Linked DNA regions of Anolis sagrei. The protein of the gene in region 1 purifies or fractionates together with the protein of each later gene. This does not show direct contact. Links are inferred from orthologs where the notes say so. Each region holds a gene or a part of one and is shown on either strand. Other genes may lie near its edges.

Region 1 (8,069 bases):
CATACTCAGATAAAGTGGGATTTTCTGCCTTGATATTCTGGGATATAGGGCTGTGTGGAAGGGCCCCCAGTCACATACTTGCAGTGGTTAGTCCAAAGTTTTCATGGTTACTGTCTAAAGAGCTATCCCAAAGAAATGTAGTTCTGTGGGGAAAGCGACATTTGAAAACATTAATCAATGGCAAATGTATTTTAGCACCGAGAAGAATTAAACTGCTGCAGATGTTTCTTATGTCCAGAAACAATTGTTTGTTCACATTCTTCTTCTTTTTCACATTCTTCTTCCAATTCTTTTCTTCTGGTTGTGTGACTAAGAGGATGATCCTTTTCCAACAAGTAGTTCCCTATTTTTTTCTTTTGTAACCAGAGATGAGAGAAATAACTTTTAAAAATCTTGATTCTGGAACTCACTGCTGGGCAACTCTGGGGGCCCTTCCACACAGCCCTCTATATCCCAGAATAGCAAGGCAGAAAATCCCGCAATACCTGTTTTGAACTGTGTAACAGTCTGGACTCAGATAACCCACTTCAAAGCAGATATTGTGGGATTTCCTGCCTTGATATTCTGGGTTTTATGGCTGTGTGGAAGGGCCCTGGGAGTTGTGCTTCAAAAGAGTAACTTCTCCAGAGAATTGTCAAAGGCTTTAATGGCCGGAATCACTGGGTTGTTGTAGGTTTTTTGCGCTCTATGGCCATGTTCTAGAAGCATTCTCTCCTGATGTTTCGCCCGCATCTATGGCAGGCATCCTCAGAGGTTGTGAGCCCACTATGAACCTCCTATGAACCTGCGTGATCCCTCCTCTTGCTCCTGCCTCCGTCACAAGCATAACTTGTGGGGACGAGGGAGAGGGCCTTCTCTGTGGTGGCCCCGTGGCTCTGGAATTCACTCCCCAGGGAGATTAGGCAAGCACCAACCCTGGCAGCCTTTAGGAAAAGTTTAAAACTTGGCTTTTCCAGTGTGCATTTGAAGAATGAATAACTAATTCCTATACCAGGTCCCGTCCCAGTGTCGATTTGTTTTTCTGATGCACTTTATCTCATCCCTCAGGGGAGATTAACCTCATTGTTTATCCCACAGAGTCTCTCACTAGACACAGCACTTTATCTACCTATCTCACCCACAGGTTTTACAATTTTTACCTTTCGCATTTGGCCCAGCTCACCCTTGTTAATCCTTGTACAGTTTTATACTCTGTTTTATTATGTTATTGTCACTATATTACCATGTCATTGTTTAGCATTTTCGCTTGATGTTATCATCTGTTTTTGTACGTATTTTATTTTATTTTGCCTTATTGTAATTGCTCAGGCTTGGCCCTATGTTAGTCACCCAAGTCTCTTTGGGAGATGGTGATGGGGTACAAAGAAAGTTATTATTGTTATTATTATTTGAAACACAACAGGATGAGTGCACAGCAAACAAGATCATGTATTGGAGAATAATGCATGCAGATCTCAATAAGATCTCAGATCCCACCCACCCCCCACCCCCCAAAACCAACTTTTCAATCTCTCCTTAAGTTTCAACTGTGACACTAATGTTTTGGCGATCTTGAAAGTGTCAGAAAACAAGCAGACAGGAAATCCATGATTTGATTCAATATACTAATTTCAAAAAAAATGATTAAAAGCCCAGTGCCAAAGGGTTTTGAGTAAATCCAGCATTTAAGGCATAAATGGGAGGATTTTTGTATGGAGACCGTGCCAGTTTTCATGATGAATTTTAAACTCACATCTTGTGTTCACTATATTTTAAGCTTTGTTCTGTGTATTTTAATATATGTATTTGTAGAAATATGTTTTATGATATGTATTTTATATAATGTTTATGATTTTATGTGTTTTAGCTATGTTGTGACCCACCTTGAGTCACAAGGAGAGGCGGGTAAGAAATAAAGATTATTATTATTATTATTATTATTATACTGACACAAAAACACAGTATGTCACTGCAAACGAGATATATGTGCTGGATTTCATATCACAAAATCACAAGTCGAATACTTCCCAAGCATCTAGGACTGTGTGATGTATTTTTGGACGATGTGCACAGATCCAAGTGAGGTGGCCTTTTGCAGTTGACAAATCGTGATTTTGTCAAAGATGATGATGATGATTATTATTATTATAGATGCAGGCAAAACATCAGGAGAGAATGCTTCTAGAACATGGCTATACAGCCCGAAAAACCTACAATAACCCAACTTCTCCAGATGCTGCTCATCAGTTTCCTTCTTCAAGAAGCATCAACCTACACACAATTTCCTCCTCAGCCATTTGCTGAGATTGTAGTACCTCTGGTAGTAGCAGGGACTCCAACAACAGGAGCTACTGGAAGAAGATCCTGCTTTTGTCTGCACTTTCCTTTAACCCTTGGTGCCCATCAAAGGATTTCAGGGGGGAAATTCCAACATAGTCAAAGAGAACTTCTGTGAACAAGCTAATGCCCAAGTTACACGAGAAAGGGATCTGTCCTTTTGTAAGAGTGCCTTGATTCCATCACATCTGTGCTTGTTTACACATATTTCCTCCCAATGGATAGAAGGTTTCATTTCACTCATCCCAAAAAGTTCTGCCCAGTGTTTCACTTACCTATTTAAAAGCAAGTCCTTCCATTTATTTGGCTTTCTGCTCTGTCCCTAAGGAGTGGAGGAAGGGGGGAGACGGCTGCTGCTGCTTCCTCCGTCTTCCAGGTTTCTCCTGCTCTTCTTGGTACTTTCCTCAAACTTCTTGAAGCTTTTCGTGCATTAGCGACATCCCCAAATGTGAAAAGATCCGAAGACATCTGTCCCTGGGGCAGACCACTCCCTGGGAGAAAATAGGGGAATCTCTCTCCTCAATGTGCTCCATTACAAAGGAATGGGGGGATTTCCAAGAATTCCCTGGGACATGTAGTGCAAAGACATCCCACGCTGCAAGATTCCCCTTTTTAAATTTGTTGATATTGCAGTTTTCTGTTAATTTCTGGTTTGATAAGGGGATAATCGCCTCCCCCTTTCTTATCCCATTTTCCAGCCCAGCTTGCTCCAGCCCTCGTGGTAGGAAAGAGTCATTTGCTGAATCAAAGCACTTCTTCCCGGCAATACAATGCCTCCCCTGTGGCGGATTTTTGTGCCGTGAGAACGTGTGAAAGAATGGCATCAGAGAGATCTCCCCAGAAGGAAAGTGTGCAGGGCAGCTGGCTATTAATGTCGTATTAGTGATGGATTAGCAGAAGGCTTTGCCAGATAGACCGAGCCTAGCTTGGCAAAACTAATAAGCTAGCTCACAGCAAGGGGCCAGGAATGCCTGCCTCCAAGTTCTTTGGACAAAGATGGGGAGGATATAATAGGATTCAGGGAAACAGAAAAATCCACAGGTGAATGTACTGCGTTGCTTGGGGTAGCCAAGTGATAGACTGGGGGTGCATCTTAACAGAGTAGTGAAGTGGGCCAAAACTAACAAAATGAAGTTCAACAGGGACAAATGCAAGATACTCCACTTAGGCAGAAAAAATGAAATGCAAAGATACAGAATGGGGGACACCTGGCTCGAGAGCAATACCTGTGTGAAAAAGATCTTGGAGTCCTCGTGAACAACAAGTTAAAGATGAGCCAACAATGTGATGCAGTGGCAAAAAAAAGCCAATGGGATTTTGGCCTGCATCAATAGTAGTATAGTGTCTAGATTCAGGGAAGTAATGCTACCCCTCTATTCTGCCTTGGTTAGACCACACCTGGAATATTGTGTCCAATTCTGGGCACCACAATTGAAGAGAGATATTGACAAGTTGGAATGTGTCCAGAGGAGGGTGACTAAAACGATCAAGGGTCTGGAGAGCAAGCCCTATGAGGAGTGGCTTAAAGAGTTGGGCATGTTTAGCCTTCAGAAGAGAAGGCTGAGAGGAGACATGATGAGGGCCATGGATAAATATGTGAGAAGAAGTCATGGGGAGGAGGAAGCAAGGTTGTTTTCTGCTGCCTTGGAGACTAGGACACAGAACAATGTCTTCAAATTACAGGAAAGGAGATTCCATCTGAACATTAGGAAGAACTTCCTGACTGTGGGAGCTGTTCGGCAATGGAACTCTCTCCTCCAGAGTGTGGTGGAGGCTCCTTCTTTGGAGGCTTTTAAACAGAGGCTGGATGGCCATCTGTCAGGGGTGCTTTCAATGCAATTTTCCTACTTCTTGGCAGGGGGTTGGACTGAATGGCCCATGCGGTCTCTTCCAAATCTATGATTCTATGATTCTATCTACACAACAGAATTAATTCACTGGGTTGCTGTGAGTTTTCTGGGCTGTATGGCCATGTTCCAGAAGCATTCTCTTCTGACATTTTACCTGCATATATGGTAGGCATCCCAACCTCTGAGGATGCCTGCCATAGATGCAGGCAAAATGTCAGGAGGGACTGCTTCTGGAACATAACCATTCAAACCGGAAAATTCATAACAACCCAGTGATTCCAGCCATGAAAGCCTTCAATAATACAAATCCTTTGGAGTCTTCTGCTTAGCATCTTGTACACATTTGCTTCACCATCATTTGGAACAGTATCTAGCTGCACAATATATGTATCATTAAAATTGTATCATGTACCATTGTTGAACACCATTGGGAAACATTCAGATACAAGAGATTCATAAGTATCAAAAAGAAAGAAAAGAGTTATTTTTCCCACCCTGGACATTCCGCAGATATATAAACCTCACTTGCCTAGTTTCCAACAGACCCCTCAATTCTGAGGATGCCTGCCATAGATGTGGGTAAAATGGCAGGAGAGAATGCTTCTGGAACATGGCCATACAGCCTGGAAAACTCACAGCAACCCAGTGAAAACCGACAAAACATAATTCAGTTTTGACACCAAATTCATTGTTTGTTTGGTTGCATGCTGCAAGTCGCTTCTGGCGTGAGAGAATCAGCCATCTGCGAAGATGTTGCCGGGGGGGATGCTCAGATGTGTTGCAATGCTGCGGGAAGGCTTCTCTCATGCTGCATTTTTAAACTTTGTGTTTTTAAACATGTTACAACTGTACCATCAGTTTGCTTCTGATACCAGGCATGTAGCCAGGGGAGGGGCTCGGGGGGCTTCAGCCCCCCCCGAAATTTTCATGGTGGTTCGCGAAAAGGCCTTATTGGTGCATTATTTAAACTGTTATGTTTATTCATATCATGATCTGATCACCATACTCAATATATCCCATATGCATGGGGGTATTGGGGTAATGATACAAAAGGTTTGCTAGGCTAGACCCTCTTTCACTCAGACTCAGCCCCCCCCTGAAACTCAGCCCCCCCCCGAAACCCCCCCTGAAAAATTTTTTAGCCCCCCCCGAAACAAAATCCTGGCTACGGGCCTGTCTGATACAATAAATAAATACCACATTCATTACCATGGCTCAGTGCTACAGAATCCTGGGAGATCTATATTGTTGAAGGCTTTCATGACTGGAATCACTGGGTTGTTGTAGGTTTTCGGGCTATATGGACATGTTCTAGAAGCATTCTCTCCTGACATTTTGCCTGCATCTATGGCAGGAATCCTCAGAAGTTATAAGGTCTGTTTAAAACCTCTGAGGGTGCTTGCCATAGATGCAGGAGAAACATCAGGGGAGAATGCTTCTAGAACATAGCCATATAGCCTGAAAAACCTACAACAACCTGTGAGATATAGTTTGGTGAAGGACCAGCACTCTGCAGAGAAGCCTAAGAACTTTATAAAACTACAACTTCCCATGATTCCATTGCAGTGAAAGCAGTGTCAAACTGCAATATAGTTCCCAGATCTGGATTCTAATTTTCCACTGAGCCTTTGAACTGACTTCATGACCTCTTGCTTCTTGATACCTCACAAGTACACTGTGACAATGAAATAAGGGGGTCATACATATCTCCTTAAAGGGGGTGCCGTGGCACAGTGCATTAAACCGCTAAGATGCAGAACTTGCTGATCAGAAGGTCGGTGGTTCAAATCTGTGGGACGGAATGAGCTCCCATTGTTAGCCCCAGCTTCTGCCAACCTAGCAGTTCAAAAATATGCAAATGGAAGTAGATCCATAGGTACCGCTTCAGCAGAAAGGTAATGTCACTCTGTGCAGTCATGCTGGCCACATCACCTTAGAGGTATCTACAGACAATTCGGACTCTTTGACTTAGAAATAGAAATGAGCACTATACTATCTCCCAGAGTTGTACTTCACTAGACTTAATGTCAAAGGAAAACCTTTACCTTTAAATATCTCCTTAGGCAGGAATATACTGTTGTTGTGTGCCATTAAGTAATTTCAAATTTATAACAAGCCTAAGGTGAATGTAGCACAATATTTTCTGGGACTGAGATGGCTGTAAATAACTGAAGATATATGCAGAAAAGGAAGAGAGGTTGCACAGAGATTAGGACATTAATCATTAGATGCAGATTGCAAGAAGAGGAATTCTACATAATTAGGAAGAAGTTTCTGGTAGTAAGAGCTACTCAACAATGGAGTGGACAGCCTCAGTTGATGGTGGACTCTCCTACATCTAAGGGTTTTAAACAGTTTTGATGGCGTTAGTCAAGGATGTGCCCATCAGGTTTCCAGGTACAAGAGCAAGCAAGATTGAATGCTTGCAGAGGATGAGTCGCAGTGATCTTTTGTGAGTCCTTTTCCCTATTATGGTATTGATCCAACAATTTCCAAGGTTTGAGTATATACACCTGTCAATTGGGCGATGAAACAGGTTGGGGATCCTTCATGCTGTCTTCCTGCCAGAGCTGTTAAACCACTCTCAGAAGTTGTGTTAATTTCTCCCAAATTTATTGTGTACTAAAGCGGTTCATACTGTGCATAATGAGCAGAACTATCACACTAGTTATTATTTTTTCATGTCACCCCATTTGAAAACTGCTTTGAAAACAGTTTAATATGCTATTAAAGCATATTTGTGCTTTAACGGCATATCAAGGCATATTTGCGCTTTAATGGCGTAATATTCCACTATTTTCTTTTCTGCAGTATAAGATCCTTGGTTCTGACAGTGTTGTTCATACTGCCTAGTTTTGCCCAGACTATGCATTGCCTTAAAATATTTTTAGTTGTTCTAATACAATCATGGCATAATGTCACAGTGCTATTATGCTGTGCCTTAAACCATCACAAATGATGAGAATGAAACATAAATTACAGTGTGGTATATGGTTCTACAACAGTGTTTCTCAACCTTCCTTATGCCGTGACCCCTTAATACAGTTCCTCATGTTGTGGTGACCTCCAACCATAAAATTATTTTTGTTGCTACTTCACAACTGTAATTTTGCTACTGTTATGAATTATAATGTAAATATCTTAAATGTAGGATGTATTTTCATTCACTGGATGAAATTTGGCACGAATATCTGATACTCCCACATTTAAATACTGGTGGGTGTTTTTCGGGGGGTGGTTTAGTCATTTGGGAATTGTAGTTGCTTGGGTTTATAGTTAATCTACAATCAAAGAGCATTCTGAACTCCACCAATGATGGAATTGAATCAGACTTAGCACACAGAACTCCCATGACCAACAGAAAATACTGGAAGGGTTTGATGAGCATTGACCTTGAGTTTTGGAATTGTAGTTCACTTCCATTCAGTGGATTCAAACAGTGATAGATCTGGACCAAGCTTGGCACAAATACTCAATATGCCCAAATGTGAACACTGGTGGAATTTGGGGGAAATAGACCTTGACATTTAGGAGTTGTAGTTGCTGGGATTTAAAGTTCACCTACAATCAAAGAGCATTCTGAACCGCACAGATAGAATTGGGTCAAACTTCCCCCTCAGAACCCCCATGATCAATAGAAAATTGTGTTTTCTGATAGTCTTTGGTGACCCCTCTTACACCTCCTCCCGACTCCCAGGTTGAGAAACACTGTTCTACAATAAAGTAAAGGAGGCATTTTGGAAAACATCCCACACAGTTAAGGAATCTGAATAGAGATTTCCAAAGGTTAAGGTCAGGACTGTGATGTTTTTTCACGATAACAACAAATCATTTACAGTATAAAAATTACAAGAAAAGGGGGGTTTCAAGAGCATAAAACATAGATAACCAGGAAACATAGGT
Region 2 (7,296 bases), on another chromosome or scaffold:
GGTTTGAGTGTTGGAGTATACCTCTAAGAGACCCGGATTCAAACCCTCATTTGGCCACTGGTGACCCTGGGGATGTCGCACTCTCTCAGCCTCAGGCCCCAGCTACGATGCCATATAATAATGCAGTTTCGGAATACAGGTAACTGCATTGAACTGGGTTATATGAGTCTACACTGCCATATAATCCAGTTCAATGCAGTTAAGATGCATTATATGGCAAAATAGATAGAGCATAAAGGAAAATCCCTTCTGAACAAATAGCATATGCTGACAATTGTGTGACAAAGCGACACCTGCTGAAGTTCTCTCTTCCATGAAACCATTAAAAGCATAGCAAAAGTCTAGTTTTCAGCCTGGCAGCTCATAATCTACTTTGCATCCCACAAATGAGATATAAAATAATACTAATTTATTGGAAATTATTAGTAAGTGTTATTATAACAACGTGGGTTGGGAATAAAATACATCTTGCGGGAGCTAAATTCCTAGCAGACTCACAATCTCCCTCCTCCACAGTATTAGCCATAATCTTCTTTATTAATTAATTAATTAAATTTATTTATTTATGATGCTTATATGCCGCCCTTCTCACCCCGAAGGGGACTGAGCAACTTATACAAGATATATATACATACAATATTTATTATTTGGGGTTCTTTTACCCCGCCCTTCTCACCCCGAAGGGGACTCAGGGCGGCTTACAGAAGCAAAGGCACAATTTGATGCCTGCATCATAAAAACAATAATACACAAAATTACATCAGTACACAGTTAACAACAATTACGCATTATAACCATAAAATCAATAAAACCAAATACAAACCCAATTTCTCCTCTTACATGGTCAGCGTTCGCTACTCATAGATCTAGTTTTACATTCCACTTCATCAATCCTGCTGGTCTTACTCGCCTGGTTGTCTGATTTAATTGCCGGACTGCCCAAAGGCCTGGTCCCATAACCAGGTCATCACCCTTCTCCTAAAGGTGAGGAGGGATGTTGATGCCCTGATTTCCCCCGGGAGTGAGTTCCACAGGTGAGGGGCCACCACTGAGAAAGCCCTGCTCCTCGTCCCCACCAGCCTCACTTGTGACAGTGGTGGGGTCGAGAGCAGGGCCTCCCCAGATGATCTCATTATTATTAGCATAGCACAATATCAGTATTATATATTACTATATTGTATTATACCATTGTACTGTAATATTATTAGTAATATTACATCTGTATATATAATAAAGAAGAGTGTTTGTTTGTATCGGACAGAGGAAATGCGGCGGGAGGAGTATGTGGCAGCGTTCTGATTGGCTGCCGCAGTGGTGCTATTTGCATATGGTCACTGATTGGCCAGCTTCAATAGGAGCCCCTGGTGGAGAAAACAGTTCATGGCAGAAACGGGGACATGAGAAGGAAATTTGCATATGGTCTCTGATTGGCCAGCTTCAATAGGAGCCCCTGGTGGAGAAAACAGTTCATGGCAGAAACGGGGACATGAGAAGGAAATTTGCATATGGTCTCTGATTGGCCAGCCTCAATTCCAAGATTCCGAGTTAACAAAGAGAGGAAAGGAAAAGGCCAGAGGGGGCTGGGTCAGAACACTCCCAATACAGACGAAACTTGGCACACAGAGCCCCCATGACCCACTCTACATCCTACTGCAGTTTGGAGGAGCATGAGTCATGGATGTTGGGACTTGCAGTACCATCACTCACATTCTGAGACCGCTGATAACCTCATCCAATGACTGATCAGGACCAAACTTGGCACATAGACCTCTCATGACCCACTTTACATCCTGGTGTGGTTTGGTCGGGGATGGACCATGGATTATGGGACTTGCAGTACCATTGCTCAATTCTTGAGACCACTGCAACCCTCATCCAATTACCGATAAAGACCAAACTTGGCACACTGAGTCTCCATGACCCACTCTACATCCTGCTGCAGTTTGGAGGAGGACAGACCATGGATGATGGGACTTCAAGTACCTCCACTCCCTTCCAAAGATTGCTGCAACCCTCTTCTAATGACCAATCAAGACCAAACCTGCCACATACAGCCCCCATGATCCACTCTACATTCTGCTGCTGTTTGAAAGAGGATGGACTTTGGATGATGGGACTTGCAGTACCTTCACTCACTTCCTGAAAATAATGCAGCCGTTATCCAAAGACCAATAAAGACCAAACTTGGCATACAGAACCGCCATTACCCACTTTCTCTAATAACCCGGGCAACGCCGGGTCCCCAAGCTAGTATAATATAAAATAGATAATTGTAATATCATTATTATTAGTATTTATTGTATTACATTATAATATTATAAATATTATAAGTATATACAATGTATTATAAGCAGGAGACAAGATGGAACTGCCTTCCTGGGCCCCCTCTCTTCACTTCCCCCTTCTCTGAAATGGTACAGTCCCTCATTTAAATTCTAATAGGTTTCTTGACACCTCCCTTTACCTCCCCCTATTAACAAAATGGTACGACCCAGAATTCCCCCAGCGTTCATAGGTTTTAATGGCCCCATTTGATACAGTAGGGAAATGTACTTCATCCTTATTGCTATGGTACAGCCCAGTTTCCCCCTACACTAGAATGGTACAGTCTGGAAAAAAGCAGACCCGCCGGGTAATTATAACTGAATGAATTCAGGTCAGGTCAGACCATCATACAATTAGGGGTCTCCCTTCTTTCATACAATGGATTCGCCTAGCTATGTATCCCCCCTTCTGTTTCGTTTGGTTCGTTCCAGCCCCACCCCTCTTTGTAAGGATCGGCCCCGCCCCCTAGTCTCGCACAGAATGGTTCAGCCCTCCCAGCCTATTTTCCCATTATAGTTACAGGGTGGGTCTCAAAGCAATCAGTATTCCCCCCCCCCCTTTTACGCCCCTCAGTGGATTGATCGAGGGGAACCTACCATAGATACCGTCCTCCATGGTGACCAGAGTGTCCCCAGAGCTCCCCACTTTCTCCTTGTCTCCTTTCTTCGGGGCTTCGACGGCTGCGCCTTCCTCCCGCAACCGCCTGGCCTTACAACTGGAAAGGAAAGTCCCGCCTCCTCACGAACAGCGTGGCCAATAGGAAGGAAAGATCTCGCGAACCCGCTCCTGAGTGCGAGGCGATGGAGCCAATAGGAGCGGTTATGGTTACGATAGACGTCTATCTCAACCAATAGGCGCCTCCGTGGTTGATATTGACAGGGGCGTTGTCCAATTAAAGTTTCCCTTATTGCCCATCTGATCGGCTTCGTGATATGCGATAGACTTCGAACTGTCCCCACCTCTTCATACATTTGGAAAAGTCTGTACATCTATGAACCGCTAGATGTCACCTTTCGAACCCGCCCTCCTTCACGCTTAAGTGTCAATCAGGGTAACTGACGTTTGAGCCAGCCAATAAGAGGGAGGGAAAGCAGCTCCGCCTTTTGAGTAAACTAGAAAGGGAGTAGACTGTTGCTAAGAGGGGCCTAGGCGGTTGCTATGGACTCAAATAGCCAGTAGCCTTGTTAAAGAAAGAGGAGGACTGTTGCACCTCTGGGTTCATTCCTATAGCTTGTATATTTATTTATTTATTTATTTATATGCTGCCCTTCTCGCCCCGAAGGGGACTCAGAGCAGCTTACAAGTTATATATACATAGAATCATAGAATCAAAGAGTTGGAAGAGACCTCATGGGCCATCCAGTCCAACCCCCTGCCAAAAAGCAGGAATATTGCATTCAAATCACCCCCGACAGATGGCCATCCAGCCTCTGTTTAAAAGCTTCCAAAGAAGGAGCCTCCACCACACTCCGGGGCAGAGAGTTCCACTGCTGAACGGCTCTCACAGTCAGGAAGTTCTTCCTCATGTTCAGATGGAATCTCCTCTCTTGTAGTTTGAAGCCATTGTTCCGCGTCCTAGTCTCCAAGGAAGCAGAAAACAAGCTTGCTCCCCCCTCCCTGTGGCTTCCTCTCACATATTTATACATGGCTATCATATCTCCTCTCAGCCTTCTCTTCTTCAGGCTAAACATGCCCAGTTCCCTAAGCCGCTCCTCATAGGGCTTGTTCTCCAGACCCTTGATCATTTTAGTCCCCCTCCTCTGGACACATTCCAGCTTGTCAGTATCTCTCTTGAATTGTGGTGCCCAGAATTGGACACAATATTCCAGGTGTGGTCTAACCAAAGCAGAATAGAGGGGTAGCATTATTTCCTTAGATCTAGACACTATGCTCCTATTGATGCAGGCCAAAATCCCATTGGCTTTTTTTTTTTTTTGCCGCCACATCACATTGTTGGCTCACGTTTAACTTGTTGTCCACAAGGACTCTAAGATCTTTTTCACACGTACTGCTCTCGAGCCAGGCGTCCCCCATTCTGTATCTTTGCATTTAGTTTTTCCTGCCAAAGTGGAGTATCTTGCATTTGTCACTGTTGAACTTCATTTTGTTAGTTTTGGCCCATCTCTCTAATCTGTCAAGATCGTTTTGAATCCTGCTCCTGTCTTCTGGGGTATTGGCTATCCCTCCCAATTTGGTGTCGTCTGCAAACTTGATGATCCTGCCTTCTAACCCTTCATCTAAGTCATTAATAAAGATGTTGAACAGGACCAGGCCCAGGACGGAACCCTGCGGCACTCCGCTCGTCACTTCTTTCCAGGATGAAGAGGAAGCATTAGTGAGCACTCTCTGGGTTCGTCCATTTAACCAATTACAGATCCACCTCACCGTAGTTTTGCCTAGCCCACATTGGACTAGTTTCCTTGCCAGAAGGTCATGGGGGACCTTGTCAAAGGCCTTACTGAAATCCAATATATTTTCTTTTTTTTCTAATAATATTAATTATATTATTAGCATAGCACAATATTAGCATTATATATTACTATATTGTACTATACCACTATACTGCAATATTATTAGTAATATTACATGTAATTTAAAATATATAATTATTATATATTGTATTATTAGTATTATGTTACAACATCATGATCAATATTATATGTATTTATTTATTTACTTTGCTTATATACCGCTGTATCTCAAGCCCGAAGGCGACTCACAGCGGTACTTACAATATATTGTAATTATTAGTGTAGTACAATATTAGTAGTATATTCCACTATACTGCAATATTATTAGCAATATTACATGTAATATATAATATACAAGCATTGAAATATATAATATACAAGCATTGATAGACAGCTGTAGATAACCAAACAAATCAACCAAAACATTGTGATGTATTGAAACAGCTGTGGATCCGGGCGAGAGGTAGACTGCATTGGATAATGCAGAATGTTGGATGAGCAAAGGTTGGATAAGCAAGACTCTACTATATATGCTTGTGTAAATAATGCCAATTAGCTGCTCTGCACAGCTGATCTGAAGGGTTGCTACTTGATTTATTGATAAGCCAGCACAAACGAAAAACAGGTTCAATCATGTGAGAAAGGCAGAGAAGGATTTTTTTTTAAGCCCAGCTGGCAGTCAGAAGTTTTGGGAAAGTCTCTTTTCCACATCACTGACAGGATAACAATCAACTCCAAAGCTGTGTGGCCAACCTTAAAGACAAAATAAATTAGGCAATAAACTCTACATTGGTCTAAAATCACATCTATCTGCCATTCCAGTCTCAGTATTTTTAACTTTTCTAAATTTGCCATCTTTAAATAATTTTATTTTTTAAGTGAAAAGCAATAATATCACAAAAAGGAGAAAATTTATTATGTATAATGCTAAAATTATGTAGCTAACTAACTAGCTACTACAACAAAGTACAAAGCTACATTAGAAACAAACCAACAAAACACACACTTACATAGACACAAACACACAGAAACTACACCAACAAACGAAAGACAGACATAAGTCTAATTCTACAAACCTCACACTCTATTCGTTGGGTTTTTATTTTTTATTTTTTTCAACAAGAGCAACATTGTGCAATTTTACTGTTATTAGTTATTTTGAAAACCTGAAGTCCTATACATCTAACCTGGAAGGAAGTGGTATTGCACTCAGGAAAAGTAGATGGAGGAGGCAAAATAATGGTCTGCCTCAAGGCAGCATTCTTGCACCGACCTTGCTTAACATCTTTACTAGCAATCAGCCACAGCCACCACTCACAAAGAGCTTTATGTATGCTGATGACCTTGGCCTAACAATATAAGCACATGACGAAACAGCCAAAAAACAGCTTACTAATGCCCTGAAAGATCTCTCTAGCTACTACAAAGATAACCACCTGAAGCCTAACTCTGCCAAGGCACAAGTGTGTGCTTTCCACCTATGTAACTGTGAAGCCAACAGAAAATTGAAAGTTGCCTGAGAAGGCCAAGAGCTCGAACACTGGCTGGCTCTCAGCAGGTCTTTGGAAGGGCCAGCCCAGTGGTACCATAGATTTAGAAGGGACCCATAAATGTCATCGAGTGCACATACCCCCCCCCCCCCCGCCAGGCTGGACACAAAGCCCTCCTGACAGAGGGCCATTCCACCATAGATAAAGACACCTTGTTGATGGGAAGCTTCCCACCGGAGTGGAAATCATCTATCGGACAGATGGCAAGCTGTTTAACCTCAGCAGACTGAAAGCCAAAACCAAAGTCACAACAACATCTGTTATAGAACTCCAGTATGCTGATGACAATGTCGTCTGTGCGCATACGGAAGAAGATCTACAAGCCACTCTCAACACCTTTGCAGAAGCATACACAAAGCTTGGCCTGTCACTGAACATCGAGAAAACCAAAGTGCTGTTCCAGCAGTCACCAGCCGTCCCCTCTCCAATGCCAGTGATACAGCTTAATGGTGTAACGTTAGAAAATGTCGACCATTTCCGCTACCTTGGCAGCCACCTCTCCACCAAAGTCAACATCGACGCCGAAATACAACACCGCCTGAGCTCTGCAAGTGCAGCATTTTCCCGAATGAAGCAGAGAGTGTTTGAGGACCGGGACATCCGTAGGGAGACCAAGGTGCTTGTCTATAAAGCTATTGTCCTCCCAACCCTGCTCTATGCTTGTGAGACGTGGACTGTCTACAGACGTCACATGCAACTCCTGGAACGATTCCATCAGCGCTGCCTCCGGAAAATCCTGCAAATCTCCTGGGAGGACAAGCGGACAAACGTCAGTGTGCTGGAAGAAGCAAAGACCACCAGCATTGAAGCGATGGTCCTCCAACATCAACTCCTCTGGACAGGCCATGTTGTCCGGATGCCTGACCACCGTCTCCCAAAGCAGTTGCTCTACTCCGAACTTAAGAACGGAAAACGGAACGTTGGTGGACAGGAAAAGAGATTTAAAGATG
Region 3 (7,612 bases), on another chromosome or scaffold:
AAGACAAAATAAAAATAACTAAATGACTAAATAAAATTAAAGAACATTTTCTATTCCTGCCTATTGCAGGGAAGATAAGGGCTTCTTGCTTAGATCAATACAACCAGCAATTTTTAAAAATTGAATGCAAAATAACATAATATTTGAACAGATAATAAATGTAGGCTTACACTGAGGTAAAGTATTTCTGTATTATCTATTCACATTCTTTACTTTTTAAATATTTCCTCCCACCTCCCTTCCCTACCCTTCCCACCACATTTCCCTCTATATCTTTATCTTTAACCACAAACACAATCTTCTTAATCTTTGTACAATGTCTATGCTGGCTTCACCTTCTTCTGCTCATCTCATATAAATTGCCCATTTCTCTTTAATTACTTCTATTTTGTCCTCCTGTGAACCTTCTTGGTTTATACATGTAATGATATCCAATTGGACTTGCTCATTTTTTTCATTTCCCCATCCCCAGTCTATTACTGCCTTTCATGCTAGGGTCATTGCTTTAAATAGATCTTGGTTCTTTGCAGCAATGTTTTTATTCCCTATAATTGTCATTAACATAAGTTCCATATTGACTTGAACGGTTATTTTGAATAGTTTCCCCATAGTTTTTTTTAAATAGCTTCATTTCCTTTTTATATTTAAGACGGAAAATATGCCCCCTGGCCTTGACTCTTGGGGCTAGAATTCTTTTCAATGTAAGCTAGGCAGCTAAAATTATTGATCCTTGTATAAAGGTGATTTGAGGTTCCATTATCTGTTTTCTCTGGACATCCACGTAGTCAGCATATGTGTGTCTCTTTGTGTTTGTGTTACTAAGCCTTAGATTTTTCCAATCCTTGAATGCATGTATTAATATTGTCCTGCCAAATTTACAATAAAAGAAAAAGAAAAGAAACTATAACAGAGTGTGAGCCTCTATGGGGGAAAGGCTCCTATCTTCTTGTTATTTTTCCAGCTCTCTGGTTTTTCTTGCTTATACTGTTCCAAACACATCTTCTTCATTCCTGTCTATCCTGTTCTCCACCCTAAAAAGAAACATCTTGTCTGGACACAGTGCTTTATTTTCCACAACATTTCATTGAGCAGCACAGTTGTTTGCCAATTTCTTAAACCATTTCATTTCTACTCAATGGCATATATAGTATAATGTATAGTATAAGGTATAGTATAAAAGAATACACAATTATACGTAGTTGATGTTACTTCTGCTAATGAGAAATTATTGCCCGATTCCTGTTGACTGGTGAAAGAGGCCAAGTGCTTATTTATTGGGAATACTCATAGATGGAGTCTGAACCAATTTATTGAAACAATTGTCTTGTTCTCTGTCTGAAGAGCAAGGAGATTGAAGATAAGTGGAAATTATTTGATTTGGCTTGCTCCTGGGATAATCTAATTTAGGGAGTATTGTCTCCATGATTAACACATCTCAAAGCATACCAAATGATTAGGAAATTAAGATGTTTTTTTTCACCCTTTCTAGTCATGGAGCTTCCAGAAGCTGCATTAAAAGTACTTCATCAGAATAGAATTAACCCAGAGACTCCATCTAATTTTTTGACCAGCAGTTCCATTAGCCCTGTGGTTCCCATTCTTTTTTTGACCAGGGACCACTCTCTAACATTAGTATCAAAAGGGTTACAAATCAGTTTCTGGTCAACTTTAGATTCAGTTTGGTTATTTGGGGTGCTGATTCAGAAAATTGCATTGGCTTGACAATATAATCTCTCATTTCCAATACAGAACATATGCCATCCAGTAGTCGCCATCTAATTGCCCACAAAAAAACATATTTAATAATCTAGAGCTGATGTGGTTGTAGTAATCTTTTGTGGGTAGTTAGCCTCTCCCCTCCCAATATCCCTGTTGCCTCAGCACTATAAGAGGGTTTTGCGAGACCAGTTGCTCTTGTTGCCGCATGGTTTCAAGACAACAGTGTAGTAATGGTGAGGCTGCGGACCATATTTTATGTAGTTCTTGCAGATCGCTGGTGGTCCACGGACCACAGGTTGCAAACCATTGCATTAGCCAGATAGAGTGAATAGTGAAACTGAATAATATTTGGACAGGATCCTGAAGCTGAAGAAGAGATATATACAGTTGGCCATCTGTATCCATGAATTCTGCATGCTTAAAAATACCCCCAAAAAACCCCACCACCTTGGTTTTGTCATTTGGTGTACAGGGTACCATTTTACTACACTATTGTATATAAAGGGACTTGGGAATTTCTAGATTTGGGTATTGTGTATGCGTGTCCTGGAACCAAACCCCAGCAGATAGCAAGGGCCCACTATATAATCTTTGTGCAAGGTGTTGTGTGAAAGGTTTTGTTTCATTCCCTTTTATCCCAATAGCAATTAATTTGTCAAAAATCCTTGGGAGGCTGCAGGAGTGTTTGTAGGGCTGCATTTATGGTAAGGGTCCCATATTGATCCCTGCCCCATGCAGCCTTCAAGCATTTGGCAGACATCCCAACAGCTGTGGACCTTCTTTTCCCTCTCTCCTGCCCTGCGTTCTCTGCAGCTGAGCTGTGCACCTGTGACTGTAGATAAAACACTCCTTTGTTTCCCCTTGTGCCTTCTTCCAGTTGCTACTCTAACATGTGCTATAGAGTTTCTGGCCTCAGTGAAGGTAACAGCTATTTACAAGCCTCATGGGAAGAAGTCAGATGCAGAGTAAAAAAAGGAGGACATGAGCCCTGTTTATTGGGGCTTCAATCCTCGAGGCAAGTTATTCTTGAAGAATTCTCAGCAGTCGCAGCCCCATGCAAAGCATTGTCTATTGGGCCACTTCTTTTCACCCAGTAAACATTATTTTTCAATTCTTTGTTCCTTTGCTCTTCCTTTCTCGGCTAACAAATTCCAGAATTTGTGGTGGTTGTTTTTGTTGTTGTGTGCCTTCAAGTCATTTCCAACCTATAGTGACTCTTAAGACACACCTTTCCCAGGATAAACTTGGCACAGTTGTGCAGAAAAGGTTTGCTATTGCTCCCCTCTGAGTCTGAAGAATTTGCCCAAGGTCGCCCAGTGAATCTTTATAATCGAGCAGGAATTTGAACAGGGTATTCTGAGTCTCAACCCACCTTTTCATATGGTAATTATTTCCAGTAAGACTCAACATTTTATACGAGGGTTATCTGGAAAGTAAGGTTACAAGGTACGTAACTCTCACGGGGAAGTTGATATCATTGCAGTGTAGCGGGAAGCCAACGGAAGCAAACGAGCAGTGCCAGCCATCAGCAGCTCTTCAACTAGCATTGTGGTGAAGGTTAGAGATGAGCATCCTCATTCCATTTCCCTCCAAGTGCGAAGTTTGCGCTGTAATACACAACCTAAATGCTAAGGTTATGAACGCCGCTGCAATTCATCGCAAAATCATTTCAGTTTATTGAGAGGATGTAATGTCAAGACAGCATATAACAAAATAGATATGGGATATACTGAGACCATGAAGAAACTTCTCAGAGCCATTCAAAACAAATGTCATGGGATGCTGATGGGGGGATGCTTTAATGCAATAATTGGCTGATAGAAGAAACTTATGATCTGCCAACCATGTTTTAAAGGATACCCAGCAAGTTATAAGATAGCCAATACCTATTAGAAAAGGAAAGTGCTAGCCCAGACATGGACAAACTTTGGCCCTCCAGGTGCTTTGGACGGGCTAAAGTTTGCCCATGCCTCTGCTAGCCAAACCCCTTTCCTTGTCCAAATACTTAGCTGACCTTTCTGTTTCATGAGAACTAAAATATCCCAAATCTGTTTTTAAACCCATGAGGCTCGTCCATAGTTGCCATATTTGCCACACACTATACAATTGCAGCTCTTTTACTTTCTGAACCCTTTACATATTTGGCTAGTTTTCTCTATCTCATGTTGCTTAGATAGAAGCTGCTTCCTGAAGTATGAGATCTTTGTCTCTAGATGAGAATTGTTCTTCCTTTGAACTGTACCTGCCAGAGAGAGCTGCATGCTGCGGCTCCTGATGCTTTTCTTTTTTTCTACTGCTGGTTCCACCTCTCTCATTGTGCCATGTTATTACACTCGTCCATACTCATAAACATGTACACACACACATCACACTCTTTGGTGCCTGTACACACTATATTTTGTTCACCTTCCCTTTACGCAGCCACTGTTGCCATGCAACAGCCCAGCTTGCTAGATGCTTAAAGCCCTAAGAATGAAGCCGGATAAAACTGACCTAAAAATACCCTTTGCCCAAACCTCCTCCTGGGTAACTGGGAGGAGTGGCTGGGGCGGGCACAGAGGGAAAAGTTCCCAAACTGGACTGCCCTCTAAGTGGCTGTGTGTGTGTCTCGTCTTGTTGACCGTACCATACGGTTACAGTAAGAGTTTCCTGGCAGGTAGCTGGGATTGGCTGGCCTCACTGCGTGGGAGCCTCTGCTGTTCCTTCTGCTTCAGCTGGACCAGGGATCCCTCGCTCGGTCTCTACCCCCCCCCCCCCAAAGTCTGGAGGAGGAGGTGGTGGCAGCAGCTGCTGCTGCTTCTGCTGGAGAAAACCATTTGGTGCCTGGACTCCAGGCACTCTTCCTTACCTTCCTGTTGGCTGCCTCTGACTTGCAAGGTTTTTCTTCCCTGTCCAAGAGCAGCCACCCCACTCAGGCTTGAGAGAGGGCACCCTCTTAAAGTATCATCATGGGCACCGTGAGTGAGCTCTGTGCTTCCAGTTTCCAGGCCTTCCTCTTCCCCTCCACTTTGGCAGCAAACAAATCAGGTAGGTAACATACCCTCGCTCCCTTGTTTTCTCTCCAGAAGTATGTGGCCAGTGGTAGAAGTGAAATATATGAGGGCTGTGTACGTGTCTGCGTTACTTGTGTACTGCTATGCCCTCTCTTGCAAGATGAGTCATGACAGGCATAGGCTATCATCTTCTCCTGGCTGGAGGCGGCTAGTTAGATGAGATCTGAGGCATGCCTTCAATGTCTTTACCTGCACTGTGGCTTCCCTCTTCCAAGGCAATGTTCATGCAATAGTCAGTGTTTGACCTAACTGTGACCTTGCCTGCTTCAGCTTGTAGAATTCAAAAATCACTTAGTTTTCAGTGGGAAGGAAGTTCACCCACCCATACCCTCCTGCCAAAGTGCTTTGGCTTTGATTTCATCAACCCACCCATTCACCAAATGGTTTTATTGGAGAAATGACAAGTTGACTATCAAACTTTTATCATTGGAACAAAGCCATTACCAAAGCTAAATCTTAATCGGTAAACTGGAAATCTAACAATATTTTGGTAAAAAGCAATGATATTAGCCATGTGTCCCCTAGCCATTATGCTGCTGGTAAAAGCACAACGCAGGACCACATAACACTAGAGAATAAATCCACTTAAAATCTGGTTTCTGCCTCCTGCAGAATTCTGGGGTTTGTAGTTTAGTGTGGCTGTTAAAGGCTCCTCCCTAAACGACAAACCCCAGAATTCTGTAAGAAGCAGCAACCAGAGTTAAAGTGGATTCATTCTGTAGTGTGATGAAGTAATAAGTGTTGGTTCATGGCCTTGTGTTGGTTTAGAAGAGAGGAGAGAACATTTCTGTTTTTGATATCAGAATACATTTCTTCACACACACAAATTCAGATCAGATGTAGGGCACATTACACACCACAGGTTGACTTCCAGACGTAACTGGTTATATCTTCACAGTATCTTACCTTCTGTAAAAGCAGGAAATATTCTTAATCTCCAATTCTTTGTTCCAGAATTTGTGGTGGTTGTTTTTGTTGTTGTGTGACTCTAAGACACACCTTTCCCGGGATAAACTTGGCACAGTTGTTCAGAAACGGTTTGCTCTTGCCCCCTCTGAGGCTGAAGGAGTAGGACTTGCCCAAAGTTACCCAGCGATTTTTTATAATCGAGCAGGAATTTGAACATGGTATTCTGAGTCTCAGTCCACAAGAAAGAAAGGGACATGTATTTGAAACAGCCTTTACAAAAGATCATCTTCTCACTCAGAAGGCTGGCTGCATAGCAGTGGGATTGTGACTGTGGCCACTTGCCTGGAATCCCCAGAGTATTATAACTTTGTAATGCAATGGATCATAAATTTCTGTGGACCAAATTTGGGTTTTACCTTATGGGAATATGAATGCATGTTATATTTAAAGTAAGCTTGCTCTTGAGGCTTTGGGCCTTCTCCATTCTGAACTCAGTGTTTTCATTTTTTTATAAAAAAAATTCCTGCCATGCTGGAATATTGTGGCTGAGATATCCTATGACAAAAATGGGAAACACCAAAGCACCAAAACAGTTTTGACAAAACAGAAAACAAGGCAACTCTAGTTATTTGAGAAAGTCCAGCCAGGTATTGTTCCTATGACAGTTGAACTGGCCCTAGATTTTCCCCAGCTTGGAGAAAAGGTAAAGCTTAACCTGCTTAATGTCTGCCTGTTGAACAGAGCCACTACTGGAGGGGAAGAAAAGATGGCAATCCGGATACGGCTGTCTGGCTAGCTTGTTTTCTGTGTCTGCTCCCTTGCTGTGTGAAAAACAGATGGGCGGAGGTACTGCTTGCTCTGATAAGTTTGTGGCTTTTTGAACAAACAGTGTTCATAGCGGAGGTAGACTGATCTACTCTTAAAGCTACTTAAAAATTAGAGGCTGTTATTTCAAGTGCAGATGAACTGTACCGTGCTAAAGCTGATCTTGTAAATTTGTGCTTCCTGGTTCAGGGGCAAAGCTGCAGTCCAGGAAGTCAGGGCTGACTTGTTTGTCATTATCATCATTTGAAAGAGACATTAAGTGATTTCTGTGAACCAGAATCATTACAACTGAATGGGGCAATTAATAAAGAAGCTGGTAGCTCTTCCCAAGATCTCCAGGACCTGATTTCCCTCACCCTCCCAAGTTAGTATCCCCAAATCTTTGTTGAGCAAATGTATAGACTATCTCTGCATGGATTTGAGGGATCGGAATTTGCCAGAGCCCCCTTCCACATATCTTAATTAAAATCCCACATTATATGGCAGTGCGGACTCACATAACCCAGTTCAATGCAGATATTGTGGGATTTTCTGCCTTGATCTTCTGGGTTATACAGCTGTGTGGAAGGGCCTTTCATCTCCAAAGAATTATAGATGGAGCCTTCCCTATTCCTCCATGTCAACAGAACAATGTTTCCACTTCCCTTAATCAACCATTCAAGGAGCTGACATGCTAGTTAATGATTGCCTATTAACTGCAGTAAAATATATAGAGGTAGTCACTGAAACCAAAACTGCCAGCTTATCTTTTGTTTTCATTATGATTTTATCTATTAGTCAGAACTGCGTATTTTCTAATTTCAGGAGAACCCAGTCAGCATAGCAAAGAAGACCACATTGCTGGCCACCTGCCACAACAGTGGTTAGTGTATATCCCCAAAAGGGTACAAACAATCTTCAGAGAAATAAGTTTCATATTTAGCTTAATTGTTCTTTTTAATAAAGTACTTAATGTAGTATGACCAGGGGCGGCTCAACCCAGTACGCAAAGTAAGCATTTGCAGTATAGTTGATTTTGCCCAGGGGCGCTCTTGAGGCGCTCTTGGGGGAAAATAGACCTTGACATATGCGAGTTGTAGTTACTGGGATGTATAGTTCACCTACAA

What was found.
Region 2: the proteins of INAVA (region 1) and CYTH2 purify together in Homo sapiens (co-immunoprecipitation; 3 studies listed by BioGRID and IntAct, counting the BioPlex papers as one, with this or other methods). This does not show direct contact. The link is inferred for Anolis sagrei from reciprocal best matches to the Homo sapiens genes INAVA and CYTH2.
Region 3: the proteins of INAVA (region 1) and CYTH1 purify together in Homo sapiens (co-immunoprecipitation; 3 studies listed by BioGRID and IntAct, counting the BioPlex papers as one, with this or other methods). This does not show direct contact. The link is inferred for Anolis sagrei from reciprocal best matches to the Homo sapiens genes INAVA and CYTH1.

What each region holds. Positions count from the first base shown.
Region 1 is NC_090024.1:185,461,595-185,469,663, reverse strand, and holds the start of INAVA (innate immunity activator protein), read right to left. Parts: upstream 3,067-8,069; 5' UTR 2,592-3,066; intron 1-2,591. UniProt on the Homo sapiens protein: Expressed in peripheral macrophages and intestinal myeloid-derived cells, is required for optimal PRR (pattern recognition receptor)-induced signaling, cytokine secretion, and bacterial clearance.
Region 2 is NC_090026.1:20,066,882-20,074,177, forward strand, and holds the start of CYTH2 (cytohesin-2), read right to left. Parts: upstream 3,064-7,296; 5' UTR 2,941-3,063; coding exon 2,922-2,940; intron 1-2,921. UniProt on the Homo sapiens protein: Acts as a guanine-nucleotide exchange factor (GEF). Promotes guanine-nucleotide exchange on ARF1, ARF3 and ARF6. Activates ARF factors through replacement of GDP with GTP.
Region 3 is NC_090022.1:128,857,858-128,865,469, reverse strand, and holds the start of CYTH1 (cytohesin-1), read left to right. Parts: upstream 1-4,563; 5' UTR 4,564-4,667; coding exon 4,668-4,746; intron 4,747-7,612. UniProt on the Homo sapiens protein: Promotes guanine-nucleotide exchange on ARF1, ARF5 and ARF6. Promotes the activation of ARF factors through replacement of GDP with GTP.